Notamacropus eugenii: one gene and its partners. The protein of the gene in region 1 purifies or fractionates together with the protein of each later gene. This does not show direct contact. Links are inferred from orthologs where the notes say so. Each region holds a gene or a part of one and is shown in the gene's direction. Other genes may lie near its edges.

The links.
Region 2: the proteins of CLK3 (region 1) and GPATCH8 purify together in Homo sapiens (affinity purification with mass spectrometry; 3 studies listed by BioGRID and IntAct, counting the BioPlex papers as one, with this or other methods). This does not show direct contact. The link is inferred for Notamacropus eugenii from reciprocal best matches to the Homo sapiens genes CLK3 and GPATCH8.
Region 3: the proteins of CLK3 (region 1) and PSME3IP1 purify together in Homo sapiens (affinity purification with mass spectrometry; 3 studies listed by BioGRID and IntAct, counting the BioPlex papers as one, with this or other methods). This does not show direct contact. The link is inferred for Notamacropus eugenii from reciprocal best matches to the Homo sapiens genes CLK3 and PSME3IP1.
Region 4: the proteins of CLK3 (region 1) and TNPO3 purify together in Homo sapiens (affinity purification with mass spectrometry; 4 studies listed by BioGRID and IntAct, counting the BioPlex papers as one, with this or other methods). This does not show direct contact. The link is inferred for Notamacropus eugenii from reciprocal best matches to the Homo sapiens genes CLK3 and TNPO3.

Annotation. Positions count from the first base shown.
Region 1 is NC_092872.1:241,552,408-241,560,387, reverse strand, and holds the start of CLK3 (dual specificity protein kinase CLK3), read left to right. Parts: upstream 1-4,565; 5' UTR 4,566-4,835; coding exon 4,836-4,859; intron 4,860-5,412; exon of another isoform or gene 5,413-5,518; intron 5,519-7,980. UniProt on the Homo sapiens protein: Dual specificity kinase acting on both serine/threonine and tyrosine-containing substrates. Phosphorylates serine- and arginine-rich (SR) proteins of the spliceosomal complex.
Region 2 is NC_092873.1:349,475,993-349,483,998, forward strand, and holds the start of GPATCH8 (G patch domain-containing protein 8), read left to right. Parts: upstream 1-4,295; 5' UTR 4,296-4,374; coding exon 4,375-4,698; intron 4,699-5,084; exon of another isoform or gene 5,085-5,175; intron 5,176-8,006.
Region 3 is NC_092872.1:474,789,156-474,797,532, reverse strand, and holds the start of PSME3IP1 (PSME3-interacting protein), read left to right. Parts: upstream 1-5,056; 5' UTR 5,057-5,514; intron 5,515-8,377. UniProt on the Homo sapiens protein: Promotes the association of the proteasome activator complex subunit PSME3 with the 20S proteasome and regulates its activity.
Region 4 is NC_092874.1:121,048,747-121,056,595, forward strand, and holds the start of TNPO3 (transportin-3), read left to right. Parts: upstream 1-4,088; 5' UTR 4,089-4,474; coding exon 4,475-4,594; intron 4,595-7,849. UniProt on the Homo sapiens protein: Importin, which transports target proteins into the nucleus. Specifically mediates the nuclear import of splicing factor serine/arginine (SR) proteins, such as RBM4, SFRS1 and SFRS2, by recognizing phosphorylated SR domains.

The DNA of each region.
Region 1 (7,980 bases):
AATGTAAAAGATAAAAAGATGTGTCTCGAAGCATTTGGTTGAACTAATTAAAGTGATTGTTGACCCCTCAAATTGCCTTTCCTTTTATAAATGCAGATCTAAGAACCCCCCCACCCCATATGTCAGAGTGCTCACTGATACAGACCCATGGTGTCAAACTCAAATAGAACCAGGGACCACTGATCCATATAGGATCCCTGCAGGCCACATATTGATTTAGCTTTAAAATCTAATATTATTGGTACTTTTTATTTATTGAATATTTCCTAATTACATTTTAATCAGGCTCTAGCCACACTCAGGAGTGTTAGGGCTACCTGGGATCAGTGGCTCACATGTTTGAATACCTCTGGTCTAGAGCATTGGAAAGTTAAGTGACTTTTCCAGAGTTTCTATGCCTTGAACTCAGGTCTTCCTGACTTTGAAGCAAGTGAGTGATCTACTATGCCTTGCTGTCTCTGACATAGTACAAAATAGATACAAGAATACTGGATTTGGAACTAGAGGTCCTGGGTTCAAATCTTGATTCTGTATGACCTTAGGCAAGTCTTTAACTGATGTAAGCCTCAATTCTTTCAGACCAGAAAACTTGTAAGCTCTAAATCTATAATCCTGCGACCCTGTGAGATCCTTTGTGTTAGTGCCAGTCACAGCTTGACAAATTCCACCCCCAGGTTACTATTGTCATCATCTATCTCCACTCATTCTTGTGTCCTGCTGAAGAATGTCACACTACAATGTCCACCAGGTCTGCTAAAAATTTATATTATCTATTCTTTATTGCATCCCACCTGTTGTGATGCAATTTATTTTGTTCTTTCATGACTGCCTCCTTCTAAGGCTCATCGCAGCAACTATTCCAAACTTTTTCTTTTCTCAAATCCATAGTAACCACTCCTCTCTCTCTCTCTCTCTCTCTCTCTCTCTCTCTCTCTCTCTCTCTCTCCCCCCCCCCTTCCTCTCTTCCTCCCCCCCTCCCCAAAGGACCCAACCACTAACCATGACTTCTGTGTTTCCATCTCATCAATGGCTCATAACCCCCTTACCCCATTCTCTATTCTCTCCTGAGAAGTAGAGGTCTCTGCTACTTTGGCTCTTGGTTCCTTCTTTCCAAGTCTCTACTAGGAGCTTGCCACCTTGATCATTCCCTCTCTCTGGTCCATTGGCTCCTTCCCTGCCACCTACAATGATGCCCAGGTCCTCCCATCCCACTCTCACAATTTTGTCACTTGACCCTCTAATTCTCTCAAACTTTCTTCCTCCATCTCTCCTCCCTTCCATAGCCAAGTTCCAGGAAAAGATTGTTACATTCTTTGCTGTAATTACGTTTTTATTTCCCAGTCACTTGTCAAACCCCTTGTAATCTGATTTCAGATCCTGTCACTCAACTAAAAATGTTTCATATTTTATTGATATTTTTTAAAGCATCACTTTTATTTCAAATATGTCCCTTCCTCCCCTCTCCATAAAGATAGGTTGTGCAACAAAGAGTAAAAAAGAAAAAAAAAGTTCATCAAAATTAACCAATACAGGAATCTAGTTTGATAGTAGATATGTTCCATGCCCACAGTCCTTCACCTATCCTAAGGAGAGAGGGAGAAAGGTGTATTTTTTCACAATGTTTTGGAAATGTTATTGATCATAGTATTCCAGAAATCTTTTTGGTTGTTCTCTACACTTGCATGGCTACAGTCATACCAATGATCTTTTAAGCCCCAACTCTAGTTCTCATTTAACTTAACCTCTGCAGCTTTTGACATTGTCAACTCCTTCCCCCTCTTCCTGAATTCTCTCTCCTTTCTTGGCTTTTGGGAGGCTGCTGTATTTGTTTCCTCCTACCTGTCTGAGGGCTCCTTCTTAATCGCCTTTGTTGTACTATATCATCCGTTTGCCAACAACAAGCTTCAGTGTCCTTGAAGGCTCTGCCTTCAGCTCTCTTCTCTACTCTCTGTACACACTCTTCCTCTTCCTCTTGATGATCTCAATCTATTCCCATGGGTTCAATTATTATCTCCATGCAAATAACTCTTGGCCCTCAAGTCTCTCTTGAGCCCCAGTCCCACACTGCCAACTAGAGTGGGGAGGAAGAATGGTATAGTGGAGAGCACATTGACTCTGGAGTTATAAGACGGGTTCAAATCCTTACACCTACTATCTGTGTGACCTTGGTCACCACATTTTAATTCTCTAGGCCTCAGTTTCTTTCATCTCTATAATAAGGGGGTTGGACTAAATGATGTCTAAGGTTCTTTTCAACTGTATATCTATGAACTGTAAGATGACCATAGCTACACTGCCCATCAGTTCAAACTCTATGTGTCTAAAATGGAGCTCATTATAGATTACTCCCCAAACCATCCTTCCTCCAAACTTCCCTGTTTCTGCTAAGGACACCACCAACTATCCAGTCACCCTGTTTTCTATTTCTGTATTCCCAGTCCCAAACATAATGACTGGCAAATATTAGTCACTTAAACACTTGTTGACTTCTTGAACGTTCTGTAGAGTGCCCCCTGGCTCCCCTTCTTGGCATTATGCTTCATATTGCAGGGGTGCTCTAGGCAAGGGGAGCATAATCTACCACCCTTCTCTGTTTGCTCCCTACCCATCAAAATATACTCTGAGTGAGAGAATGAATAAATCAAGACTTGGCAGGTCGCCTCTCAAAGGGTGCTGGCCCATTGTTTCAGCCTTGTTAGCCCCCCAAAGGGAGGGACAAGATCTATTTATAACTCCTAGCTCAGGCTCTCTGGCAAACAGGACCCAAATACAAATTTTTGAATGACAATAAAAATAATGTTATTGCTGAGGGGTGGAATGTTTGTACAGGCCATTTGCATAGGGCCTTACAGCTCACCAAAATTTTCACACCTTCTCTCCTTAGAAAAATAATAGCCCTTCAAGCATTAAAAACTCTGATGACAACGCAGTTCCAGAAAAAGAAGCCTGACATCTTGCCAGAGAAAGGGATGGACTTGAAATATAGAATGAGACATGCATTTTGGACATGGCCCTAATGTGGGAATTTGTTTTGTTTAACTTTGCATATGTATCACAAGCATTTTTTTCTTTATTGTTCAATAGGTAGGGATGGGAGAGAAAATATATTCTTATTAATAAGAAAAAACAAAGGGAGAATGGCCCTTTAAATTAGATCAGGGATTATTATACCCATTTTAAAGATGAGGAAATGGTTTTGACCAAAGATAAGTACGTACTAAGGGGTAGAATAAAGATTCAAATCTAGGTCTTCTGATCTCTAGACCAGAATTTTGTGGATTATTTTTTTCACTAAATCACCCTGATGCAATTCTTCCCTGGGCAGGACTCAGCTCCCTCAGAAAGACAGCATGTCAGGGTGTCAGAGCACAGGAAAATACCTGGTACCTGGAGATGGAAGCCTTTCTGCAGTTCTTACAGCCGGTTGAGGACGGTGTTTCCTCCAGAAGACCCTCCCTCTCTAGATGCTTAGTGACAGTTCCCCATTGGCACAATCCCTAGTCACTGTGATATGTGAAGAATCAGCAGGAGTTGCTGCATCATCTTAGCAAAGTGAAGCCCATGCAAGAGTATAAAACAAGGGTCATGGGAAGAAATGACTCCACAACTGAAGGGGTCAGGAAAAAGGAAGGGGACATTTGGGCTGATTGCTAAAGGATACAAAGGATTCCAAGAGACAGAGATGAGAGCAGATTGCCTCTGCAAAGGCTTGGAGATGGGAGATACACACAGGCACTCATCTACTCACACATACAGGATGATGAGATACAGGCTGGTGACTCAGAGGACAGAATAATCACCCAGGGCTTGGCTAGTATTGCATGTGTTTTCAAAAGCCCTGGCATTCTGAAGCCTATTTGAGGAGTCAGTCAGACAAAGAACCCCATTTCTCAGACAGCAGCTGAGGTTCCATGAAGGGGTGACTGGCTCCAGCTGGCACACAGCTAGCTGCTCTGGCAGTGGTAAGAGGCCTTTGGGTTTCGTGGCAGAGGAAAGGGGGCTTAGCTTCTTGGGGCCAAGGCTTTACATCAGCCTCAAGCCTAGAGCAGTTTCTAACATTTCTTTTCTCCTTTCACCTCCTCTTCTGGACCAGGGGAAACATCCTTCCTCCTTTCTCCCCACCCCGATCAGTTCCAGATGGGGGCACCTGGCAAGGTTGGTGTTTCTCTCCTTTCTTATGCTCAGCCACCACTGTGGACAAGGTGGTTGGGGCTTCTTGGCCTGAGTCCTTCAGGATGAGAAGGACTAACAAGGAGAGAGGGGCTAATTCCTACTGGTAGGAAAATGCAGCATCACAAAGTGGCCCCGTGTAATCAGTGTATGGAGTGGGTTATGCCAAGGCTGTGGGTGAACCGGACAGGCTGGCACATGAGGGCGTTCTGCTCAGCTAGAGATTAACTATAGAGATCTTTGTTGAAATCCAGGTGCTTTCTTTTATCTGCTTCAAGTATTTGGTGAGAGGTAGTGGTTGTGCTGTGGGAAGAGCCATTAGGCTTGGAGTCAGGACTGAGTGGTGGCAACTGTGTAGCTCGGGGCAAAGTTCTGGGCCCCGTTTCCACCTCCTTGAGGGGTTGGTCTAGACTAGCTTCCTGTGTGGGGCTAGGATGGGTCTTGGGGAGCCTTTAGTTAGCGAGGCCACTTGTTTCCCCAAGTCTTCAGGGCCGGACAGAGAGCCGAACTGGCTTCCTCTTCTGGTCAGTCTGGAGAGGTCCCCGAACGGCGGCCCCGAGGCAGCCTTACCTAGCAGGCTTAAGAGTCAGAGGCTTGGCAGAAGCACAGGCAGGTGCCCAGGGCTCCCCAATTGTCTCCGTGGGTGCAGCCAGCTGCCCTGAGAGATGGTGAGCTCCCCATCCTTGCAGGTATTCAACCAGGAGACTGACGACCCAAGAAGGGACTGATTCCTTTTAAACTAGTAAGGAGGTGGCTTCGGAAGCCTCTTGGGGGGTCTTTGTGTGGCAGGGCAGGGAAGGGCTCCAATCGCTATGAGTCACACACAACCCAACCAGGTCTGGGGGGTGTCTGGGGGGATCCTGCAGGTGGGGATCGCAGTCCCGCTCAGGTATGTCGCCACGTGGGGAGGGGAGGGCCACGGAGGTGGGCCCAGGAGCGGACGTTTGGGGAGCCGGGCCGCCGGAGGACCGGCCAGTCCTCCAGGAACAACGAATGCCAGCCTAGAGCGGCGGCGAAGAAGCGCTGCGGAGCCACTCTAGGGGCGGGGGCGGGGGCGGGGAGGAGGCGAGAGGGGGTGTGTACCGGGCCGTGGCGTCGGCACGCAGGGCGGGCCAGGAAATTAGAGGGCGGGGCCTCGGGGGCCCGAACGAAGGGACGGAGGGGGCGGGGCCTCGGCGGCACGCAGGGCCCGGCGGGGCGGGGCCGCAGCTGCGGCGGGGGGAGGGGAGCCCAGGGCAGGGGAGGGGCGGGGCCGCCGCGGGCGGAGGCCGCAGCCCGGAGCCGGAAGCGGAAGAGGCGCCAGGAGCTGGGAGCGGGGCCTAGCTGGAGCTGGAGCGCCCGGGAGACGGTGAGAGCACCCCCCTCCCGCCGTCATCGGCATCCCCTTCCCCTCCTCCGCCCTTCCCTCCGGCCTGGTGCGTGGGTTGCGAGCGGGGATGGCGGGAGGCCGCGGCTCCTCCCCCTTTGGGCGCCCTCCCTTACTCCTGACCTCTCACCCCTGACCCCGCCAACCCCTATTGGGCCCTCCGACCCCACCTCGACACTACCCTCCCGAGGACCTCGGCTCGGGCCTGGGGGCGGCGGGAGACCACGACCTTTAAAGCCCTCCCGCGCCCTAAAAGTCCCACCCTCTGGAAGTCGCCTTCCGTTCTTAAAAGTCCTCCCTCCGCTGCCCGTCACCCCCATTCCCTTCTCCACCCAAATCCGCCCCGCTATTAAAGTCGCCCCCCGCCCTCAAGATTCTCCCCCGCCCTTACTCCCCCACTCCCTGACCCCGTCAGGCTTCCACCTTAGACTCCCCCATAACATTTGCCGTTAACTCCTTCCTTTCTCCCCCTTAAATCCCCCCAGGCTCTTAAAAGCCCCCCGCCCTAAATGGCCAAGCCCCCCTGCTAAAACTCTTAAAATTAATTCCCCCCGTGTCTCCCCCCATGGACATGCCCAAGGTGGCTCCAGCTGAAGTCTCCCCTCCCCCATTGTGGATGCCCTAAACCCGGTCCACTTATCTTTGAAAATCTCCGTTTTCTCCTAAAATCCCCACCCTCTTCTGCCCCTAATCCTTCCTCCCCCTCCTAAAATCCGAGCTCCGTCCGGATCAATGCGGGGCCTCGCCTCCCTGCCCCCCATCCCCCCCACCTCCGTCACCGCCCCCCCCCACCCTTCCCAGATGGGCCACCCGGGCTAAAATGCCCCGCCCCTTTGCCAATATCGCGGCCCCTGGAATCCCACCCACTAGATACATTTCACCCTGGAAATACAATTATACCTTCCCTCTTCCTTCCGAAATTAACGTGTGGGAAAGATCCGCGCTCCCCAGTGCCCCTTTCCTCAGGCTGGCCCCCCCACCCAAGTTGTTAGCCTGCTGAGCCCACTGCCAGGTGTGCCCGGGGCTCCGGCAGATGTTTGGCTTGGTCTCCCTTATGCCGCCACGCCCACCCCCTTGCTCTGGCCTGGTACCGTATGGCAGCCCGTGGAAACTGAGACTGTGGGTTGGGGGGCGGGGTGACCCACAGAAAGATATGCTGCAGAACCCCGGTGAAGGTATCTCAGCTATTCCAGGAAAGCAAGGCTGGGGAGTCCCCAAAGTAAGATAAGTATTCACAGCTGGGCCCCAGCTGGGTCCTGGGCTGAGGAAAAGAGCAGTGTTTTTGTTGTGATAATTCCAGTCCTGAAAATGAAAGAGATACTTGAGGCTGCAGCCCGGGACTTGAACCTGGTGTTTTCTTACTTGGGGTATGAACACCTCATATCTTTTGCTTTGCCGCTTTTCTCACCTTTGACTATGTGGTTTGACCTCCCCCTCACTCAGCCTGGGTAGAGCAGAACTGGGGTAGGACTTTATAGAGACAACCCCTTTGGCAAAGCAGAATTGGCTGCCTTTCATCTTCCTTCCTCTGGCCCGTTTTCCAGTGCCCTTGAAAAGAAAAATGTTCAACCTCTGTGGTGTGGATTTGAGAGATGGGGGGAGATGAAGTGCCAGCAGTAGTGGCACCAGCAGCCCTCCAGCATAACTGTGGGGATCCTGGGGGAGGGGAGAGGGCAGGTGCTAGCCGTGGCTCAGCTAGATGTTCTCGTTGGCCCAGTTTTCCTAATGCCAGCAACATGTGAAAACTGACAAGAAGGCTGTGCCCTGAGTACCTCTGAACAGACAGCTGGCATCTTAACAGCGTGGCATCTGGACTTGGTTTGACTTTTCCCATTCCTCAGCATGCGGTAGGAAAACTAGAGCAGGTTTGGAAGTACTTTTAAAAGCTGTTCTATTCCATAGCTCACCTCAGAAACTTGGTATTTTAATCTGTTGGGCCCTCCTGGGGTGTTAATGAGTCTGAGAAATGGGCCTTAAGGCTAGCAGACTTTTGGAGGGAGGTGAACCTGGAAATCTTTCATGTCAGATCGAGCCATGGGCAGCTTTCCACCCACTTTTTTGGAAGTGAGTTTTAAAATTCTGTATTCCTCTGAATAAGACTACCCCTAACCAGGTTTTTACCTCTAAAATGAAATCTCTTCGAAAGGAATATACATACACACACACAAACTCACATACTCTCTGTGTGTATACACATATATATGTATGATTATTTTTCATTATTAATTCCTTTTGGATGCTAAGATTTAAGGAGACTTTTGGGTGTGTGTTGCCAAAGGGAGGCTAACAGGCTCTGTATGCTGTTGCCATATGGTTTCTCTCTGTCTGCTTTTCTGTTCTGGGTCATTTGAGTTCCATAGAGCCACTTTGGCAGTTGAAACCCAGCAGCCTGGGTTTTAGTGGGCAGCTGAGAGAGAGATAGCCCTATCTTTGTGGAGGTAGGA
Region 2 (8,006 bases), on another chromosome or scaffold:
CATGTGGGACCCTTTCCCATTTTTATGATCTCTTGGGGATACAGTCCTAGAAGTGGTATTGCTGGGTCAAAGGGTATAGTGGCTGTTTTCATATAAGTTGTTCTCCGGGTTCTACTCACTTCACTCTCCATGAATTTGTTACAGGTCTTCTCATCAAATGAGATAGCATACATAGGGCACTTTTTGAACTTTAAAGTGGTATGTATCATGTATGCTGTCATTACCATTATTTCCAGGTTTTCCCCAAACCATTCTCTTAATAATTTCTTATGGTACAATAATATTCCATTACCTTCATATTACCATAATTGGTTCAGCTATTTCCCAGGTGATGGGGACTTCTATAGTTAGCAGTTTTCTAGTACAAGAAAAATATGTGGCTATAAATATTTTAGTAGATCTGGGTCTTTCCCCTTTTTCTGTCATCTCTTTGCAATATAAGCCTAGTAGTGTTAAGACCCCCCAATTACTCTGGCAACATATAAAAGTGTAGCAAAAGTTTAAAAGCAATCTGGCAGAAATTAGGCTGACCAACGTCTCATACCATAAATACCACAAAAAACTTCAAATGGATACATGACCTGGATATTTAAAGTCATATCCTAAACAAATTAGAGTGGAGAAAGTGATAGCTTTTGCATCTCTAGAGAGAATTCTTGACCTAAGGACACAGAGGGAAAGAAAGGAAGGAAGGAAGCAAGCAAGTACTTTACCATGTGTCAGGCACCTCCTTAAGTAAGATGCAAAACAACCAAAAACAGTCCCTGACCTCAAGAAGCTTACTTACATTCTAATGGTGAAGGATAAGACAAAAGGGAGCTGAAAAGAGGGGGTGGTGTTTTAAATATATATATACATACATGTGTATATACCTATATCTACATATACATACACATGTATATGCACACATTTACTTACAGGCATAGACACACACCATGGTGGTTGTTCTTTGTTCTTGAAGAAGACCAAGATGACATCAGCACATTGGGGTCAAGGTACAGTGTGTCACACTGCAGCTGATCAGACCAACAATATGAGCTTGGAAGGCTCTACTACAGGTTAGGCACAAAATAGTCTATATGAACACTGTGAGTGAAACTGTCTCTAAATTTGTGCATCTCACATTTCTTCTGAGCTACTGCAAATCTGTTTTGCCCATAGTGCACAGCGCCTTCTTTGATGTGAGCACGACATGCTGGGAGACCCTGTGCCAGTGTCTCCCATGTTTCACAAATGATTCCAAAGTTCTTCAGACAGACCTTGAGAGCATGCTTATATTCTTTATTCTCACCTCCATGTGTGAGGGTCTGCTTGCCTTGTGTGAGCTCTCCATAAACCAGTCTTTTAGACAAAGGTACTTCTGGCATGATAACAACTTGGCCTTCCCACTGGAATTGTGCTCTCTGCAGTAGAATTTGAATACTTGGCAGTTCAACTCTAGAAAGGACTTCAGTGTCCAGTACCTTATCTTGTCAGGCAAGCTTCAGAATATTCCTAAGATAATTCAAATGGGAGTGATTCAGTTGTCTGGCATGGCACTGGTAGACCGTCCAGGTTTCACAAGCATACAACAATGAGGTCAACTCAAGGGCTCTGTAGACTCAGTCTGGTAGGCAACCTAATTCCTCTTCTCTCTCACATTTTCCTTTGGAGCCTCCAAACACTGTGTTAGCTCTAGTAATTTGTGCAACACCCTTATCAATCTATGTGTACATCCCTGGAAAGTATACTGCCAAGATAAGTGAAATTATCCATAGCATTCAAAATTTCTCTATTTGCTGCAAGCAATGGTTTCACTAATGGATGATGTAGTACTGACTGGTAAAGAACTTCCAAGTTTTTTTATGTTTATTGGTATATATACAGGATGTCCCAAAGCTATTTTAAGCTACTAAAGCTTACAATTGCACTTTTGGGGCACTCTTTACATGATAAGATCAAGTATTTACATATAGGGTAGCTAGTTGACACAATGGAATGTGTCATGGAATCATGAAGACTAATCTTTTGTGAGTTCAAATCTGGCCTCTTATACTTACTGGCTGTGTGACCTTAGGCAAGTCACTTAAACCTGTTTGCCTTAGTTTCCTCATCAGTAAAATGAACTAAAGAAGGAAATGGCAAACTTCCAGTATTTTTGCCCCCCAAATCCCAAATGGAATCTTGAAGAATTAGACAGGACTGAACAACAAAACATTTACATAGGGCTTTAACATTTCCAAAGAGCTTTACAAGTATTGTCTCCTTTTATAACAACAACCATTCAGAGATAGGTGCTAGTATTATTCCTATTTTATAAGGGAGGAAACAGGCAGACAGAAGTGAAGTGATTTGCACAGGGGCACACAGCAAGCATCTGAGGTTGGATTTAAATGCTCTAAATCCAGGCTTTATTCACTACTACATAGCTGTCTCATATGTAAATGTAAACGTATAGGAGCTGTCCCAAAAGTTTTGGTACAGTTTAAGCTATTTGTTAACTTATTATTCAATATATTTATTACATAAATATATTTAATACACAATACATTAATGTATTTTAATGTATTTAATATAAAATACATACTAGTATTTAATATCTACACAACATATTTAACATTACTTTAATATATATTATATGTTATAAAAATAGCAATTTATTATTAAGCTTTACAAGCTTAAAACTACCCTTAGGCTTTTGGGACACCGTACATACATATATGTGTCTGTATATCTGTATATCTATATCTCTCTCTATATATAGATACATATATGTATATGTGATATCCTCAAAAATCTTAGTGTAGTTTAAGCCATTTGTTATTAACTTATTGTTTAATATATAATATCGCATGTTCATAAGGAGATGATTTTTCTCTCTAATTTCACCTCTATCCCCTGAGTCCTTCCAGAGTGCCCTCCTCTTGGGGCATGGAGGTGACTACGGGCCCTTTAAGGAGATGTCTGCAGGAGGGAGCACAAACTCTGAGTGAAGGCAGCTTTGGTGTGGCCTCCCTTCCTCTCCTGGGACTGTTGTCCAAGGTCCTGCTGCGATCTGATGCCTCAGGGAGGATGGAAGAGATTGGGCTTTCTGGTGATTCTGCTCTGACATTTTCTGCTATCTTTGGATCATATCTTCAATTCAGAATTGTTTTTTCTTGTTGATATATCTGCATTAAATGTATTTTACATTAAAATACATTTGTATTTTAGGCTGGCTTTCAGTTCTTTCCTACCCAATATAATTAGACCAATGCCAAAAGCTGCCTTTTTTCCTTTGGGTTTACTGGCTACATTTCTTGCTCAAAGATCAAGCCTTAAACCCAATTCGCTCTGGAGCTCACAGACTGGACAACAAGTCCCCACTCACCCAGCAGCACAGAGTGGATGTAATAACTAGGTAGTAATTGTTTCTCTTTTAACCCAGAACCCTGAGGGTCTTCTCCCAGTTTGATTTTTTTTTATTAAAGGGGCCATCCCTTGAGTAACTTCAGGAAACCTATTCATTCAATGGGTGCATCTCACTCAAAGGGAGAACGTGGTATGATCTTAGCCTGAAAGGGCCAGGGTCTCCCAGTGCTTCCTGGGCCATGTCCAGCTGTCCTGGTGAATGTCAGGCCACTGGACCCAGATGGCTCAGGAGGAGAAGTGAGGCTGGTGACTGCACAGCCCTCCCTCCCTCAGACCAGAGTCAACTGCAAGTCATGTCATCACCTTGATGTCCTGGTTCATTTCGAGAACGAAGGGCAAACACAACAACAATCCATATGTTTAATACAGGCTATATGAGTGTATTTAGTGTATAATGTATTACCCAATATTATGATAACACAGTATAAATAATAATTTATTATTAAGCTTCACCAGCTTAAAACGACAATAAGGCTTTGGGGACACGTGCATATATACGTATGTGTGACCTCCTCCAGATCTTAGTGCGCTGTAAGCCATCTGTTATTAAATTATGGTTTAATATATGACGCCAATATATTTAATACCGGAATACGAGTGTCTTTAATATCTGCATAACGCACCATACAATATTACAACAACGTGTCATAGATAATCGCGTTCTACTGAACCTTCCTAGCTTCCTCAGGCTTTCGAGGTTACAGACGCAGAGGCGAGGTCCCACAAGTGCGGTTTAAAGCCATTTATTTTAGTTATCCACTAGGCTGTATCACAGCCATGAGACTGAATACAGAAACAACACGGGAAATTTCAAACAGCTCGTCTTCAATAGGGCAGAGCCGCACTGACACCTCGGAGACGCTTGGGCTGTGTGCAGCCGCGGACACACGCACGCACGGACGCACGCGCACACGCACAAAAGAAGGCACGGACCTCTCCGGGCCGGCTCCCGCTCTGCCCCTCCGCTCCGTCCCTCCAGGGGCAATGATCGCGCCTGAACGCGACTGCGCATGCGCAGCGGGCTCCGGCGGCCCCGGGCTGGGGAGGCCAGACTGCGGCCCCGGAGCTCCTCGGCCTCGTTTCCGGGCGGTGCCGCCGCGACGGGAGCCCGCGAGCTCGCTCTCGCTGCAGCGCGCGCCCTGCAGGCGTGGGAGGAGGCTGGGAAGAGGGAAAGGGGCGGTGGGAGGAGCGAGCGCGGGAGCGAGCGAGCCTGCGTCGTATTCGTCGTCGTCGTCGTCCGGAGAGGAGCTACACGGCGGCAAGATGGCGGATCGCTTCTCCCGCTTCAACGAGGACCGTGACTTCCAGGTAAACAGCGGCCCCGGAGCCGGCGCCGTCCGAGCCCCAGGTTCCCTTCCCAGCACGCCGACTCCCGGAGGCGGCCATGCCGGGTCCTCCGGGACTTCCCCCGTGAGGCCTCGGAGCCGGCGCTCTGTCCTCCCGCCCCCGGCTGCCTGGCGCCCCAGCCTGAGGCGAGGCCGCTACCCCTCCGCCGCGCCCCGGGCTCCCTCCCCTTCCCGGCCCGCAGGCGAGGGCCCGCGTCGGTGTGAGTACGGGGGCTCCCTCCCGGGCCCCCCTTCCTCGGAGCGGGCAGGGGAAGGCGGGCCGAGAAAAAAAAGGGAGGGGGGTGTCCTTCCTAATGCCTTGCCCTCCCAGAAAAATTCTTGATTTTCCTACAGTTTCCATATCCTTACCTGGAAAACGGGTCCGCTGTGCAGGCGTGGGGCCGGGCCTGGCAGGAGCGTTTCGGGTGGGGGCGGGGAGCGTTCCCCACCCCCCTCCCCCTCCGCCGGCCCGTGACTGTTGTTGTTGTGGTCGGTGTGGGGCCGCTAATTGGCCTCCAGAAACACGCGCGTCCTTGGGCAGCCCCGCCGGCCCTGCGGCTGCGGGCGGGGCGAGTCTCTGCCAAGTTGTCCCGACGAACGGATTTATTTGGTTTGATCTTATTTTTAACTTAATTTCCCCAGTTGCAAAGCATGAATCTCGGGGGGGAGATGTCAGTTGGGTAGGATGAAGTCGTTCTGGGTGGGGGTGGGGGAGAAGGAAGAGAAAACTCCTCATCAGAAACCACCCTCCCTTACCTGTTGGGAATTGCCTGGCTCGGGGGTATCAGGCCGCCTTGGGCATCTTGGAGAGTGGAAGGGATTGGGAAGAGGGGGGCGGATTATTATCATTGGGTGGAAAAGTGTGCCCTCGGAGTCTCCCCAAGAACACTGCATTACTGCTGCACACCCTGGCAACTGTCATTTGGGTCAGGGGAAGAACACTGGCACGGAAATGTTCGTGCTGCCAGGTCTTAGAGCGGCCAAGAAATACTGCTAGGGGACGGGGACCAGTGCCTTCCGGGGATTGGGTTGGAAGAAAAGAAGGGGGATTACGGGCCAGCAGGAATTATCGACACTTAGGACAGTCGTCTTCAGGGACCCAGGAAAGGACTTGGGGGTATTGAAAATCCACGTAGTCACGTGCTCTTTGTGAGGCTGCAGCACAAGGTGATTTAGGAGTGTAAAGTTTTGAGATGGTTTTTAATTGATGTCTCTTGGCTAAGAGAAAACCTCACCATGTCCAGATTTTTGGAAAAAAAAATGTTGAGTGCTTTTGGAGTGCTCTTCAGAGGAGAATTCAAGGTGACCTAATCATATTGCAAATTGTCATGCAAGCTGAGCATTGAGGAAAAAGTTTTCTTTAAAGGATGGGTATTTGTGATCGCTAAAGTCCCCGAATCTCAGCAGATCCTTTTTTTCAGAATAGAGAGGACAAACTGTCATGTAAACTTGGTTTTAGTTGTGAAAATTAGCGTGTTATGATTTGAAAAAACTGGGAAAAGGATTCTGTGAAAATAAGATGGTGCTTTTATAATTTAGTCATATTTTATGCTCAATATTTTCATCTTAATCCTGATAAGGTAGATGTGATATTAATTTATCTGGAGACCTCACTATCAATCATCTTTTAAGCTCATTTTCTGCATTTACATTAAAGTCAGCTTTTATTCAGGAGAAAATTTTCCTGTATTCAGTTGTCCTAACAGGTATTGGGAAAATAGGGTGTTGGAACTCACTACACTTTTATTGGTTATTACAATATGCTATTAAAGCTCCATTGAGAGATTTTTGTAAAATATTTATTGCTAAAATTTTGTTTCTTAATAAGAACCTGACAAACATTAGCAGATTTCAACATACAGAGAAGAACAGAAAAGAAGGATATATATGATACTAAACCTAGGTTGCATTCACCTTTTTAAAGTGTGTTTTAAACTTAATGTGAGAGTAACAAAACTGTCTTGCTAGTCTGTGTCTCTGCTCTCTGGCGCATTTAAAAAATTATTTCCCTTCCTCCCTTCTTTCCCTCCCTTTCTCCCTCCCTCCAACCTGTCTGTCACTACCAACTTTCTCCAATAAAAGCTTTCTCCTAACAAATAAGAATAGTAAGGTAAAACAAATCAGCTCATTACTTCTGTCATATCTCTTTCTGAAGCACATTTTGAAAAAATTTGTCTTAAAAGAGGTTTTGAAGAATTGTAGTTTATATTCTCATTACATATTTAGTAAAGGTTTAACTTACCAAAGGAGAACTGAAAATCAATTTTCCATATTTTTAATGGAGAATATTGTTTTTTTACTGTATTTTATTTTTTCCTGTTACATGTAAAACTGTTTAAAATTTATTTTTTAATTTTTAGTTCCAAATTCTCTCCCTCCCCTCTCTTTGACGTAGATTATGCATGTGAATTTGTATGAAACATATTTCCAAATTGGCCATGTTACAGATGAACCCAAAAAGAAACAAAATATACTTAGATCTGCATTCAAACTCCACTTCTTTCTCTGAAGGTAGATGGCACTTTTCATCATTAAAGTCCTTTGGAATTGTCTTGTATTATTGTATTGATCAAAATAGTTAAGTCATTCACAGTTGATCATCTTACGATATTACTGTTACTGATATATAATGTTCCGGTTCTGCTCACTTCAATTTGCATCAATTTATGTTAAGTCCAGGTTTTTCTGAAAGCATCCTCTGTGATATATATTGTATAATAGTAGCCCATTACAATCATATACCACAACTTGTTTGGCTATTCCACAATTGATGGGCATCCCCTCAATTTCCAGATATTTGCCACCACAAACAAGAGCTGCTATAAAATTTTTTGGTACATATAGATCCTTTTTCTTTTTATTTGATCTCTTTGGGGTACAGACTGAATAGTGGTATTGCTGGGTCAAAGGGTAGAAACAGTTTTATAGCCTTTTGGACATAGTTCTAAATAGCTCTTCAGAATGGTTGGATCAGTTGACAATTGATTGGCTTTTATTGATGATGCAATTCTTTGACTTAAGGTTCTTGGAAAAGAGAATGTCCCTAGAAGTAATATAAAAAGTAGCTCTCCTTATAGTGTCATTAAAACATTTTCTATATTTAGGTCAATTAGTGTTCATTGAGAAATGTGGTTTTTCTACTCAACTCCATTTGAGAATGCTGTAAATACTGAGTTTCTGTGAAGGAAACCCTAAGAGAAAAGGAAGAGGTGAATATTGTAGTTTTTAAAACTGTTTAGAAAGTCTTGCAAAAGCCAAAAGATAGCCCAAAGCAGCATGGCACATACATTT
Region 3 (8,377 bases), about 230 Mb from region 1:
CAATAAAAAGACAGGAGTTAGAATCCTTTATTCTTAAAATGCACAAGGAATGAAAAGGAAAAGGAATTCTAAACTAGAGGAAAATTCTTGTTAATGAGAAAAGGAAATGAATTGAGTAGACTGCATGAATAATGTAACCCCATTCTGAATATAATGAGATCCACTTAAAAGGAAGTCTGAAAATACTCAGTTGAATACACTAGAAAGTGATATGCAATAAATCAGACCTGGGAATAGTGAATGCTTGCACAGTATCTTGAATAAAACAAGAATTCAAACATTTGTTTAATGAATATGTTCTAAATTTTAACATATGGAAAATATCCCAAAAATATCTCCCACTAATAAAAGAATATCTATTTTAACACATGAATGATGAACGGAAAAGCAATGAAGTTATGATGAACAAGAGAAAAAATAGTTCTGCAACTTTATATCTGAAGTGTACAAAACCCAAAAAATTGCACAGGAGCAAGCAGAAACTAAAGACTGTCAAATGCAATTTCAAGCAAGACGAAAATTCTGACCCTTAGCTTGCAGAGCGACGTGTTCTATTCCCCAGTTAATCCTGTGAGGTCAATTCTTTGTGGTCTTTCTCCTCTTCTCAGCTTTCATACCAATATAAAATTACTTGTAAAAGGGATTCTTTCTATAAATTATTCTCAGTAGACAATGGTTCCTTTACTTACAAAACCTTATAAGTAAAGACAACAAAATTTACCAGCCTCCTTAAAAAACAACACTTTGCAGTACTCCCTTTTAGGCATATTAATAGTTATAGTAAAATATATTTGTGAACTTATCTACTCATCTAGTATACCTACAGGCTAAAAGATGACTGACCAACAACAGCTAAATTGGGAAGACAATTTTAATATTGTTACTTTCTTTCTCCTTAATGGTAAAAGTAAAATATTCTTTTTTCTGAAGGATACATTTTGAGTATATGCCTGTGGTCCAAGTTTCAGGGCCCAAGTTCTAGTTCTATAACTAACTACTTTGTATCAAATTTCCAATCTTTGTACCAAAAATAACCATTCTAACTGACTAATATAGTTGGCCCTGGGAAATTAGAATGAAACTAAATCAAAAGTTATTACCATCACCAAATAACATTTGCCACTATTTACTAGTAATAGTGTCCTTCCATTCCAAGTATAACCTGGCTTTTGATTCCTATTCAATTTCACAACACAGCAAATGACTCTACTGTATTCTTCTTCAAAAGTGTCCCCAGAGGATTGTAAAATCATAAAATCACACACCCGCCCACAATATGTGATTTTGGGTGTTACTACTTGAAATGCTATGTTTAAAATAAGGTTAAGAACATATTCAAAATAATTTCAAGATGATCACAATTTAAAGATGGCAAAGTATCCTTTCACTTCTTTATAATAACCTATTTAATTTTATCATATGGAAGATATATCATACAACTCTGAGGCCACTGTAAACATACACAGACAAATGAATAAAAAGCACTATTTTGATTAGATTCTCTTGGCAATAGATAGTACTTCTATATGTAATTTAAATATCAACTACTGAAGGAATGTTTGATTTGTTGACAGGGAGGATCAAATTCATTAAAATGTAGAAACGCTTTTTTACAATCCATCATGATTTCAAAATAATTATGAGATCCAGAAATAAAGAAGGTTGTGAATGAGTCAAAAAGCTGGAATTAGAGCACATTAATCTATAGGTCCAGATAATATCTATACTGGGAAATCAGAAAACTAATAAATGATTGTAATATTGCTGTTGTTTTTAAAGGGTATTTCTGTGGAAATAGCTAACAGAATATCAGATTTTCAAAAAAAGAAAGAACTATCTTGAACATTACAAAATAAATAATCCTACAAATGTAAAACCATATCCATTGATTGCAGAATATAAACATATCATACATTCAGAAAATGGTGAATTAGATCAGGATCTCACACAGTGAGCTGCTACAAAAATATGGTGCAAAAAAATGCAATTTTCTGTTCAATTAAACCAAATACCAACCTGTAGTAGTTGGTAGAATTTCTGAGATTCAACAGTGAGAGTGGGCAGGATAAACAATGATCTGCTTGCAAATACCTATGTTTTTAAGTCATAAAATCTTCATTTTCCTTGATACACCTGTTCTCTCTAGGTTACATGACACTACTCTACCCAGGTTCTCCAACTACCTTCCAGATCCTTTTCAGTCTCCTGGGCCAGGTCACTCCCACTCACTCACCAGGGCTCCACCTTGGGCACTCTTCTTTTTTCCCCCAAAACTATTTCACTAGGTGATCTCATCAGCTCCTATGGTTTTAATTATCATCTCCACAGTGATAATTCTCAGATCTATTTATTGAGCCCTAACGTTTCTTCAAATGTGTAGACTTGAATCTCCAACTGCCTATTAGACATCTTGAACTAGATGTCCCATACATATAATTAGACTCAGCATGTCCAAAACTGAACTTGTTATCTTCCCCCAAAATTTACCAATTATTGTTGAAGGAACCTACATCATCCCAGTCATTCAAGCTTTTAAGCAAGGAATCATCCCTGACTCCTCACTCTTATCCCCCATATCCAATTTGTTGCTAAGGTCTGTTGATCTCACCTTAGTAATATCTCCAGAATAATGCTTCGCTTCCTTATCTCTGACAATTCAACCACCCAGGTCCAGATCCTTATCACATTAACATCTGAACTACTTCAATAGCCTGAACCTGGCCAAATGTCCCTCACCACTGCAATCCAGTCCTCCATTCAGTAGTCAAATTAATCTTTCTAAAATACAAGTCTAACTATGTCACTATACACTAAGTAATAAACACCAGTAGCTCCCATATTACCATCAGGGTTAAATGTAAAATTCTCTATTTGGCTTTTAAAACTCTTCACAACCTAGCTGCCTCCTGCCTTTCCAGTCTTCTTATACCAATCTCCCTCCCATGTACTCTGTAATTCAGTGACAATGACCTCCTTGCTGTTTCTTTCAAGACACTCCATCTCCTAACCAGGCTTTTTCACTGGCTATTCCTCTTACATGGAATGATCTTCTTCAAGTCTCAGTTAAATTCCCATCTTCTATGAGGAGCTTTTCTGTATTATTTCCAATTTATCCTATATATATTGTTTGTATCTGATTGTTTTCAGTGTCTCCCTAATAACACTGTGAATTCCTTGAGAGCAGGGACTGTCTTTGGCCATTCTTTGTATCCTCAATGATTACCACAGCCTGATACTTGATGGGGTAATGAATTCAGCACCAGTCAGGAAGACCTAAGTTCAAAACTTGCCTTGGACACCTAATAGCTATGTGGCCCTGGGAAATCCACTTAATTTGTTTGCCTCAGTTTCCTCATCTGTAACAACACTTACCTCCCAGTTGCTGAGAGGATGAAATTGAGATAATTGTAAAGCATTGAGCATGATGCCTGATATGAACTAATAGCTATATAGATGTTAGCTATTATTATTAAAAGATTATTTTTCAATAAATATTGAGATCACTTGACAAAATCACAATTAAAAAAGGAAGCATTAAAGTTATCTGTACAGAACTAAAGGATGTGAATACGTAAGAAAAAGGACTAGAAAAGTTTTCTCAAGACTTACAGTATATTTTACATACATTTCCATTCTCTTGGCAAAAAATAAAACATCACTATGGATATTTAAACGAAACTGTGAGAAACACATTTTAAAGGTATCCCATTTAGTTTAATGTCATTGAGGGCAAGGAAACCAGTGTTTTCTTTAAATATCACAAAACTCCCAGTATACAGAAGATCAAAAATTTCTGAATATTCAAGACAACTATGAACCTTTGACTCTGAAGTATTCAAAGTACAAGATTTTCTACAGGAAAGGATTTCATTCATTCTCATCATACACTCAATGAAGCTAAAGACAGATGATTTTACTCACTATTTTAACATGGAGTAGAAAGACAGATGACCTAGAGGGAAGATTGCTCTTTTCTGGGCTTCAATTTTCTCATATGTGTATGAGGGGTTTAGATTAAGTATATGTGGCGACACATGGCCTGGTGGAAAGTGCACTCAATCCAGATTTCAAAGAAAAAGACCCTGGGTTCAGATCCCAGTTGGACAAAAGTAACTTCACCTCATTGAGCCTTAGTTTCCATCATCGGAGGAATGAACAGCTGCACTACCTAGTTCATAAGACTATTGTGAAGAAAATGCTCTACAAATCTTAAAAGTGCTTCACAATTGCACATTACTCTTATTTCTAAGATCATTTCTAGCTCTAAGTCCTGTAAATTTACTTGAAAGAATCCTAGTCAGTGAAGAAGAACTGGGTAGCCCCAGCTTTACCACTCACTAATCCGATGTAGCCTTTAGACAATACCCTCCAGACCTCTCAGGGCCTCAGTTTTTCTACTGGCAAAATAAATGGGGAGTCTGGATTAGTTGCATCATAGAATTTAGAACTGGAGACGCCTTAGAGCATCCAGTCCAACCCTTCCATCATTTTACAGAAAAGGAAATAGAGGCCCAAAGAAGGGAAGAGGCCTGACCAAGATCATATAGAAAGTAAGTAGCAAAAATGAAGTTCGAACCCACGTCCTCGGACTCTAAATCTAGTGACTTAACATCCTGTTACCTGTCTTTAAGATTCTTTCCGGCTCTCAATCTTGAATGCTTCCTTGCCCGCTCCAGCGGCTCCCCACCTGCAGGAGCTTCGGCTCCCCAGAACCCTCCTTCCCTTCTCCTCTCGCACCCTGGGTACCTCTTCCCTCCGCCCATTCCACTGCGCCCCCGGCAAGCCCCACCCCGCCCCCCAGTCTCCCTCCCTCGGCTTCCCCAGCGGCCCCTCCCCCGGGCCGGCTCGGGCCGCTCCCCTCCCTGACGGGAGCCCCTCCAGTCTCCCCTTCCGCCCTCCTTCTTCCCTTGTAGATTCCCGCAAACCAGGCGGCCGGGCCCCCGTGACTGACTTTTCGTGGTCTCCGATGGGACGGAGCCACGGTCTGCAGCGCGGCGACTCCTTTGTGACAGCTCCGGACGGGCGATAAAGATGGACGCGCAGCCCCGGCACTGCCATTCCGCGTTGAGCCCTCCCCCGCTCCGTAACGCCCAGGTCCACCTTCCCTCCCGTCCCCTAGGAAACACCCACCTCACTCCCCGTTGGCCTGTTCCAGAGTCAACCAATCCGTATCCAGGCAGCATGATCAGGTGACCCGCCTCTCTCTTTGCCCCTCCCTCACCATAGCTAGCCAATGCTCACGCTAAAACGTGGAAAGTCCAATCAGATTGCCTGGGCTCTAGGTTGTTGTATGGAAGAGCCGAGCTCCCATTGCTCACTCCGCGGCAGCCGGGGAGGAAGAGCGAAAAAGATAGGCCAATCTACCTTGGGGAAGGCGGGTCCTACGGCGGACGAAAGGGAGCGGAAGCCCTGAAGGGTCAAAAATATTCAAAAAGCAAAGGCGAGGAAAAGCCAGGCCTTGGCGGCGGTTGAAGAGGGTGGTCGCTGCTGAGTGGTCTCGGTGGAAGTGTGCAGGTAGGTGAGCGTGGCCGGGACGTGAGGCGGAAAGGCCTGCACCCCAAGCCTCTTTTTACAGTGCTGAGTCTCGCGTGGGAAGGGACGGCTTTAGTGTTGTTGAGACGGAGGGACTGGGGCTTAGGGGGCGGGGAGGGGGGTAAACCGTGACCGGGGGCTCCTGAGGAGACGCGGGAACCCACCCCGGCCTGGCGGGGTGCGTGACAGGGCAGGGACGGAGGCAGGCCTCCCTGAGTGTCTTCCCTCTGCGGGTTCCGCTGTCTGGTCCGACAGTCGGGTCCCAAGTGAGGGTGACTGCCTGAGTGAGGAGGGGGCCCCGAGGAGCTCCGGGGAGGGGTCCAAGGGGTCACGGTGCTGCGAGAATGCGGTGGAGCCGCCTGCCTGAGGGGACCAGAGCCCTCGATGTGCCTCCCAAAGACCCAGACTGGCTCCAGACTTGGCCCTGGGCCTTGCGAGCGGAGTCCTGGTCCGTGAGTGCAGCCAGGGATTAGCAAGCATTTACCCCAGAGACCCGAACCCAGGCCTGCAAAGGCAGGAGCTTCTGTGGAGGCCTGGTGCAGGAGCGCTGGACACCTGTATAGCAGCAAGCCAGGGAAGGAGTCATAAGTACGAAGAAGAGATAACAGGTTGGGGGTGGGGAGCAGGGGCCAAGTGGCATTTGAGCTGGACCTTCTAGAAGAGACTTCAGCAGATGGGGGTGGGGATGTCAGTCAGTAAACATCCTTAAGGACTTGCCATGTGCATTGTGCAAAGTGCTGGAGATCCGAAGAAAAGCACATGACGATACCTGCTCTCAAGAAGCTTCATGTTCTGATGGGGAGACAAAAGGCAAACAACTTTGTTCAAACAAGCTATTTACAGAATAAACTGGAAGTAACAGATGGCAGGCATTAGAGTTAGGAAAGGATGGAGAGGGAAATTCCATTCCAGGACTAGGAGAACGGTTTAAGTAAAAGAACTGAGATGGAAAAGGATAGGGAGGATGGAACCTAGAGCAAAGGAGAGTTAGTTGTATGAGAAAAGGCTGGATAAAGGTAGGCTGGATCCAGACTGTAGAGGGTCTTGAATGCTTGGATTTAGAGTAGGAAGTAAATGCCAGGGCAAATTACTTTTTTTTCCATGCTTGATGATAAATGTTATTTTTTTCAGTTATGACCACCGCCCCACTCCCATCCGCCCCAAGGAAAAGGAAGAGCAACCCCCTTGTAACAAATAAGCATAGCTGAGAAAAATAGATTTCCATAATGATCGTGTCCAAAAATGTCTCATTTTTCATATTCAACCCATCACCTTTCTTTCAGGAGGTGGATAGCATTCCTCATCATTGGTCGTCTGGAATCATAATTGATCATTGCATTGGTCATAGTTCTAAAGTTTTTCAAAATTGTTTCTTTTTATAATATTTTATAGGGTATTGATCTTGTTCTGTTCACTGTGCTCTGCCTCTTGGTCTACGCACATTTTCCCAGGTTTCTCTTACTTAGCATAGCATATTCCATTACTTTCATGTACCATAATTTATTTGGCCATTCTGTAATTAATGGGTACCCCCTTAGTTTTCAGTTCTTTGCTACCCCAAAGAGAACTACTGGAAATATTTCTGTACATATAGGACCTTTTCCTCTTTGATCTCCTTGGGGTATAAGCCTAGTATTGCTGGGTCAAAGAGTATATACATTTTAGCAATTGGGGGGGTGGGGCATGGTTCCAAATTGCTTTCCAGACACTATTTCACAACTTCACCAACAGTGCATCATTGTGCCTGTTTAACCATAGCCCTTAAAACATTTGTAATTTTCGTTTTTTGTCCACTTTGTCTGATGGGAGTGAGGTACAACCTCAAGATTTGCTTTAATATACATTTCTCTAATTATTAATGATTTGGAGTATTTTTTTCATGACTTTAGAAGCTTGAATTTCTTTCTTTGAGGACTTCCAGGGTAAGTTACTTAATTCAACCTCCTATAAAGCTCAGTTTGCACATCTATAAAATTAGGCTAAATCTCATAGACATATAAAGAAAGCACTTTGTAAGACTATAAAGTGTGATTCAATTATTAACCTTGGCTTGTATTAAGTAAAAGGATGAAGTAGAAAAGAAGACTTAAAAAGTATTTGCCTGGAAATCCAAAAGACCTTTTAAGTTTAAGGGTTTAAGTCCTGCATCTGGACCATATACTAGCTATGTGATCATTTAACTTTTCCATTCCCTAAACAATTAACTCACTAAAACTTTAAGTTGCAGAAACAGTTATTGATAAAGGGAATTTTCTTACTTGCAGTTACCTACGCTTCTGAAACCACTCATTTCAACTTCATAACAGCTTTGTAATGTAGATTATATGGCATTATGTTCATTTCACAGATGGGGAACTGAGGCTCGGAGGGTCAGTGATTTGCCCAGGGTTACACTACTAAGTTTTAGAAGTAGGTCTTTCTGACAAAATCTAGAATACCTTCTTTACACTACACCCCCCTGCTTTCCACCTATCTTTACAACTAAGCTTGGGAGATTCTTAGAGGAAAACACATCCTAATGTAGAGGCTCCATAAACTGTAGATATGGTGGTCAGAAGTCATAATTTATATTTCCATGTTTGATACAGATTAAATGTATTAAAGTTTTTTGCTCTCTTGAGTTTTGTCTACTAGTGTGGAGAGGTAGGGCAATAAAGTAGATACAGAAAGAGCTTGCTTAAAGTTTTTATTAAGCCTTTTAAAATCTTGGAAGGAAAGGTGCGGTGTAAGTGAAGACTGAATTGTCTTGGGCACAGGACTTAGAACTCAAATGTAGGCAGTTTTTGTAGTCTTCCAAATTGAGCCTTTTAGAGCAAGACCCTGAAGCGGAGACTGACTTTTTATG
Region 4 (7,849 bases), on another chromosome or scaffold:
GGACAAACACAAGCTGTGCATCCAAGTATATTGATGAGATCAAGTGAGAGAGTATAGAGTAAAAAATGGGATTAGGATAGCCTTGGAAGACATTCACAACTAGTGAATGTGATGTTGAAGATCTAACAAAGGACACAGAGAAGTGCTCAGAGAGGCAGAGAGAGATCAAGGGAAGGTTTTGACCAAAAAACCCAAAACAACCCAAAACAACCCAAAACACTCAGTATCCAAGTTGCATGCGGGGGAGGGGAGGCAAGACTAACAAAATTTGTGGAGATGTCAAGCAGGGTGAAGACTGAGAAAAAACAATTCAATTGGCAATTTATGAGATTGTTGGTAATTTTAGAGAAAGTAATTTCAGTTGAATGATGAGTTTGGAAGCTAGATTAGAGGAAAGGAAGTGGAGGAACTGGGGCTAGACAGCCTTTTCAAGTTTAGCTTAGAAGGGGAGGGGAGATACAGGATGACAGATTGCAAAGATAGTAAGGCGTAGTGAAGGGTTTTGAAGGATGAGGAAGATCTGGGAATGTTTGTAGGTGGCATAAAAGGAACTATTAGATAATATTAGATATTAATATAATACTAATATTAGATATTAGATAGACTACATTAGATATACTACAGATACCTATCTAAGTGCCTTCTGGCCATTTTACCTGAAGATACAATAAAAACAAATACAAAAAACTTTTATTAAGCCTTTACTTCATGTAAAGCACTGTGCTAGGTGCTGCAGGTGATTAAAAGTTTAGATACATCATGGTCCCTCCACTCAAGGAGGTATAAAAGGTAAGGGTATAAAATACCAGCACAAAGTTATAATGCACAAAAATAAAAAATTGTTGAGCCAAACATAATGTCCAACAGGAGGAGCTCAGCAAAGGTTTGCTGAATTCCTAATGTCACTTTTGTTAGAAACATGCTGAAACTCAAGTATCAAGGAAAATTTATTAAAGAAGAATCCAGAGGAATTGGATGTTTCTGGCCAGAAGCGGGCTCCACCCTTTTCCAGGAACAGGGAATGCTGAATCTGAAGGGAGAGAAGTTTTATACTGTTAATTCAGAACAAAATCCTCCCATCAGAGGACAGATTGTTCTGTTCTCTTTCAGGTCACAATTTTCCAGACATGCCCACTGTATGTTTTCCCCTAAGCATGTGTAGGCATGTACCCCTCCCTCATCATATGTTCCACGATCAGAAAATGGAGGGATAATTTTGTGTGAGGTGTGTCTGCTTATATGCATGAGGTTTATTAAGCATGCACTATGAAGAAAAGCTTTCTCATGGTCACTGACCCCAACAGGTTTAAACTAGTTTCAGGCTGGGCCCCATTATCAGAAACTTTTTGGTTAGGCTAGCTTCTTCCCCTGAGAGCTGATTGGTTGGTAGTGCTTGTTATCTTACATTACCTTGAAACTGCAACATTTTGTGGAATCCTAACTTATATAAGAATGACTTGTCTTTCTCACACTTTAAGCTCAATAGGCTCTTCCTCCTAACCTTATTTCTATGTGATGACTAGGATAGAGAACCTAGTCACCTAAATTCAAAATGTCATAACTTTATATTTCCTTGAAACCAATTAATGAGTTTCATTGGTTCCTCTACAATATTTCCTATATCTGTTTTTTACTGCACTGCCTTTGGACTTCTTCCCCATACCCTAGGAAGCTCATAATTGGATTAACCTCATCATCATGTTAAGATTTCATCAGCTTTGACATTCCCCTTCATCACTATCCTCTGCCTCTCTGATTGGAGGGTAGGACCATGAATTCCAAACCTCCATTTAACGGGAGACCTCAGCCTAGCTATTTCATTTCTAGCTTGAGACTTCCCTGGTTGACTTCTCCACCACACCTCCATGTTGGATAGTTGCCCCCACCCCATTCAGATTCCTTTTGTGTGTCCTCTTCCTCTTTAGGATTTTAAGTTCCCAGAAGGTAGGGACTTTATTTTTTCATATTTGTTTCCCCAGCTCTTAGCAGGGTGCCAGGCATAATGTTTATTGACTATTCACTTTTAATCCCCACTAACATTCTAATTTTTCCTTATCTTATGCATTATTGTATAGCCTTATAACTCACTTCCATTCTTCGAATCTTTCTACTGCTCCAATCCATCCTTTACGCTACCACTAGTTTTATCTTCCTGGAGACCTTCACCATCTACAGTAGAGTTCTTCTATTTGAAATAACTTTTAACATTTACAAGGCACTTTAAGGTTTGCAAGGTACTTTATGTCTTATTTCATTTGACCTTCACAACAACCCTGTGAGATGAATGCTATTATCTTCATTTTACAGAAGAAACTGAGGCTGATGAGGTTTAAGTGACTTGCCCAGGGGCACCTAGCTAATGTCTGAGGCAGGGTTTGAATTCAGATGTTCTTGACTCCAACTCCATCTTTCTATCTGCTGCACCACTTTTATGTGGGCCATTCTCTAGCCGACTTGTGAGTATCTTTGGCAAGCATAGGTCTTCTTGTTCTATACTCTGATACTAAAAGGATTGTTGAAAAGTTATTTCTGTGGTTGTATTTATCATAGTCTTGTACAATAATATATGCATAGGGGACATATTGGAGGAGAGGGCTACATTTTGCTGTCTGGAATCACTTTTTAAAAAATAAATAATTGGCAAATAAGCTCAATGACACAATTTTATATTTTCTATTACTTCTGTCAGCGGTGCCTGAAGATGTAGGTCTGGTGTAGAAAATACACAAAAAGCTGGTGTTCCCTTTTCATGTTTTTACTCCTAGTAGCCTTGTTGTGCGTCCATGTACTAAAGAAAGTAGAAATTCTCCTTAAGCATTGTTGAGCCCTTAAGCAGAACACTGCCACATATGAAAGATTACAAACTAATTGTTGTAGAACTTACACTCTAGTTGAAGGAAACCACACATACACAGAATTTACAAAGTGTGGCAGCAGCCTTTACCAACTGTTAAAAGGATAGGAGGGCGTGCAGTAAGGAAGTCATCACAAAATGGTCCTCAGAAGTCTTCTAGCCCACATCCCTCATGTGGGATGAACATTTCAGAGATAGGAAGTGACAGTCGGATTTTGCCTCCAGGTCCTGACTCCAAATCCAGGCCTCCTTCCACTGAACCGCACGGATGGTAAGGGTGCAGCCTGGTGCGGGGGCTGATTCTGAAACAAGGGATGCACGCGGGGCGTGTGTCATCATCATACTATTAGTGATAATGACAGCTCTCAGTCCCATGGCACTAGTGAGGCCGGCCAGCAGCACTTTCCGTATGTTCTCTTATTCGATCCTCACGGTCCTGTCAGCGGTCAGCGGGGCGCGGTCATTGTCTCTACGATGCAGAAGGCAGGAGTGAAGCCGACAGAGATAAAGGGACCGGCCCAGGGGACACGGTGACCAACTGTCCGGGGCCAGGTCGCGGGTCCTTCTCGACTCCAAGGCCAACGCTCTCCTTGGCACCATTCACCAGACGGGGCGTCAGCCGCGGCAGAGATGGTGACCTGGAGCGCACAGCCCCACCGGCCTTGTCCTGGCTGGCGCGTGGTGCACCTGGAGACCCGGACGCGCGCGGACAGCACAGGATGCTGGCGTTTGGCGATGGAAGGACTTTGGAAATCGCCCATCGCATTCAGGGGCTTTTAACCTTTTTTGTGTGCTAGGGTTCCTTTGGCAGTCTGGGGTTTTTAGATTCATAAAATACGGAGGATTACCAAAGAAACCAGAAGTTAGTGAAAATAAAGACGTAACGACCGGGGGGAGGGGAGGAAGAGCAAGGGAGGGAGGTGGCCCCCGGCTGGTAGGAGAATCGATCCCGGCGCCGAGACGCAGCCCCGGGGACCCCACGTGGAAGCGGCGCCGCAGGGACCCCAGGCTCGAGATGTCAGGAGGAGGAAAGGTCTCCGTCCAAGACCAAAAAGCACCGGCTTCTAGAGGCCCGCACCCCCGGGAGGCCCCGGGAATTCAATGGCAGAACACACCGCTTCCTTTCGCGCTTCTTCGGTTTCTGGCCGGGGAGGGCCACTTCCGGTACCAGGGGGCTCCGAAAGGCGGGGAGCACGGCTTGCGGCGGCCCCGGCGGAAGTGCGCTAAAGGACCAGTGTCGCTGCTTCCGGTCCGGGTTGAGCGGTTCTCCTGCTGGAAGGCTCTGTGGTTTGCGGGAGCCGGCTGGGGCTGGAGCATCCCGGAGCTAGGGGGGAGGGAGAGAGCGAGGTGGAGAGAACACGCGGGCTCCCAGGCTGATTCGGGGACAGCCCGATGGTGACGCCGGCCACCGATCGCAGGCACAGAAGACAGAGGGAACCCGAGCGCCACCAGGCTCCTGTTTCCAGGGGGGCAGCCTGCACGGGACACCCCCCGCCCCGGTAACGGCCGAGGAGGAGGAGGAGATGGCGCCGGCCAGGGAGCGGCCGTGGCCGAGGCAGTGAGAAGCAGCGAAGCCCGAGGAGCCTGCGCCCCCGCGTGTGAAGAGCAGGAGCCGGCGCCATGGAAGAGACGAAGCCGAGTTTGCAGCTGGTGTACCAGGCTGTGCAAGCGCTCTACCACGACCCGGACCCCAGCGGCAAGGAGCGCGCCTCGTTCTGGCTCGGGGAGCTGCAGCGATCGGTGAGCGGGGGCCGGGGCCGGCCGCGGGGGGCGGGGTGCCGGGTGCTGGAGAGGCCTGCGGCGGGGCCGGAGCCGGCTCGGCGGCCCCGGGGCCTCGTGCAGCCCGAGGGGAGGAGCTGCGGCGCGGGGCGGGGCGCGGCGGCCCAGCCGCGGCTGGTGGAAGTTTCTAAAGAGAAGGGGCAGCCGCCAGCCCGGGGACCCTTCCCCTCCAGGGGCTGCAGAGTCTTGGGCCTGGAGCCCCCTGGGAGCTGAGGCCTTCCCGGGTTCCCGCTCTTCCACTGCCCCGAAGGGACCGGCCGCCCGGTCCCCTGCTGGTCCCTGTCCCATCTCCGTCCCTGTCCAGCACGCCCACTCCTTTCTTTTCTCCGCGTTCCGGTGTCGCAGCCTGGGATTCTTTCCCATCCATTTGCACCCGCGCCCCCATCCTCATTTTCATCCATTAATAGCTCTAAACACCTCTCAGCTCTTTTAGGTCTTTGCATCTGCCAGTTTTGCCCCCTTGTTGTATTCCTTTGCCACCTCCTTGTCTTTTAACTCCGTGTTGGGACTTACTCTTTCTTCCTCACGATCCCCCTTAACTTATGTTGTATAATATCTTTTTTTTCTGAAATGTGGGGAAAACTTTTTAATTCTACTGGAGCCATGAAATTGTTTTTTAACAAATGTGAAAATGCTTTGAAAATGAAAGGATATTGCACTGTATTTGCTTGTCTTTCAAGCACAAATCCTTTTCTGATTTCTGTTGACAACCCTTCTCTTCCCCCCTCCCTCAATTCCTTCCTTTGCTGATTTTTGTACTGTGCCCTTTAAAGCTAACTTGTTTGAGGTCTTAGTGCGTACGAGTTCCGTTTATTTTGGTCAGCTTGCAACTTTGCATTTGAAATAGGGTGGGTGGTTTATTTTTGTATGTTCCTTTGTTTCCAATTCTTGGCTTGCCTGATTTCAAGTAATGAGAAATTTTTATAAGATAGATATTATTACTTGATAATCATAACACAGTTTCTGTGGTCTGGAGAGGGAGAAAAGCCTTTTTGTGGTGCTTTGTTTTAGAGTTTCCTAGCGGTAGTTATTTTTGTAAGATAGATTAAAATTACTTTCATTTTTATAGGAGGGAAGTGCTTGGTTCGAACAGGAAAAAGTGATTTGTTAATTAAAAGGGACTTTCTCAAGGTATATTTCCCAAGCTGTTTCAGTAGTATGTAACAAACTTGAAGTTTGGTCCTAGCACAGTTAGGTTTTTATTCTCTTTGGAGGACAGAGCTTACTTAAACGTTAGTTGTGCTATGAGACCTGTGTCAAGAAGAAACTTTTTAATTTTTTTGTAGAACATAATTTTTTTTCTCCTCACAATCTCAATATGCAGTTGTAATTCCAGCGATCTCTGCCAATTGGTCTCCTTGACAAGCTCAATATGAAGCAGTAGTTAATAGTGGTACAATTTAGATACAGTTGAGCACATTCTGGAATAGGATGCATTCCTTGTGTTGCATATATCAACATCTTTTTCTCCCCCCACCCCCCTTCATTCTTAGAAACATCCTGCTGCAGAGATTATTAGAATTGATGACTTGGAAATTTTCTAAAGGAAGAGAAAACTATATTTCTCTGGTTTGGAGGCTGACTTTTATAGCAATCCTACCTAGCAAGGGTCTGTTATATGGCAGGACTCTATTAAATATGGTGGGAGGGAGATGCCCTAATTTAACTCAGCTAACTCAAACTCTGGGGGGAAGCATTGAATGAAAAGTCATCCCTTCGTTGGATATGTGGAATAACCTAAGTTGTTGAAGACAATAATTTAAATCAAGAAGAAGGGAAGTGTATTTTATAGACTGGAAAACTGTGATAGTTTTGACTGGAATAAGAGCAAATCTGGTTGCTGTACTGTGCACCACGGAAGCAGATGAGCCAGGATAACCTTGGGACAATGATAATTGATTTGGCCTAGATTCTTGGGAATTTTTTTTCCCCATAATAAATGAGGCAGGCTGTGGGATATGTACTCTAGTACTTTTCCTCTTTGGAATTCCCAGTTCCCTGAAATTCTTCTGAAACATCAGGGTTTTCTTTTCCTTTTCCTTTTCAGTCATTGGTTTGACTTGGTAATTTATTCTGAAGACTAGACATTTATTTGGTGTTTTTAAGCTGTCAATCAACATTGCCAGTCAGCTGTCAAACTGTCAATGAACCACATTGACTCCTATCATGTGCAGACATTGCTCAAGGATGAAGATGTGGAGTCCAAAAGAAAGGGCGTCTTTGCCTTCAAGGAGCTTGAGTGTTTTTGGAGAAGACACCATGTATGCACATAAGTAAATACAAAATAACACGTGATATAAACATAAGACAGTGGTGGCACTATGTTTGTGGGTGAAGGCACTGGAAGCTTTGGGAAATGGGGCAAGGCTCCATGTTGGAAGTGGCACTTGGACTGAGCTAAGAAATAAGCTAGAATTGATCTGAGGCTTGGTGGAGGTGAGGAGGCATGGAGAGTCTGTGAAATTACATATGATAGGGGAAGCATCAGGTATGAGAGAGCAGCCGGAGGGCTAGTTTGGGTATGTGAAGTTTGAGAAAGGAAGGAATGGATCAGTTTGGAAAGGTAGGGTAGAACCTTCTAGCGAAGGACTTTCAACATTCAACTTTGATTTTAGAGGTAATAGGGAGCCACTGGAACTTTTTGAGCTGGACAGTGACGTGTTCAGACTCGTGCTTTATGAGTATCATTTTGGTAGCTTTAAGGAGTATGGATTGGAAAGTGGAGAGACTTGAAGATGGGAGATAGCTTAGACCATTGCAATAGAACAGATGAAAGTGACAAGGGCCTGAACTAGGGGAGGGGTTTTACACATGACCAAACAAGACAGATTTGAAAATACTAGACTATTTAAGAGGAGGCTATTTCTGCTAGTGTGCTCTCTCTTTATTGATATGTTTAGGAAGGTCTGAAAGAAAGCTTTGCATATACGAATAAGTCACTGCATTCTAGTTCTTTGTAAAAGAAGTGCTAATATTTATATGATGCTTTAAGGTTAGCAAAGAGCTTTACATACATATACATATATATATATACGTATATATATATATATATTCTTATTTGATTCTCATAACAGTCCTTCAGAATAGGTGCTATTCTTATTTTATAAATGAGGCAACTGATAGGTGAAGTGCCTCACCCAAGGTCATAAACCTAATGAAGTAAAGGCAGGATTTGAACCCAGCCTTATACTCCACCCCCCTACACTTAACCTCCTA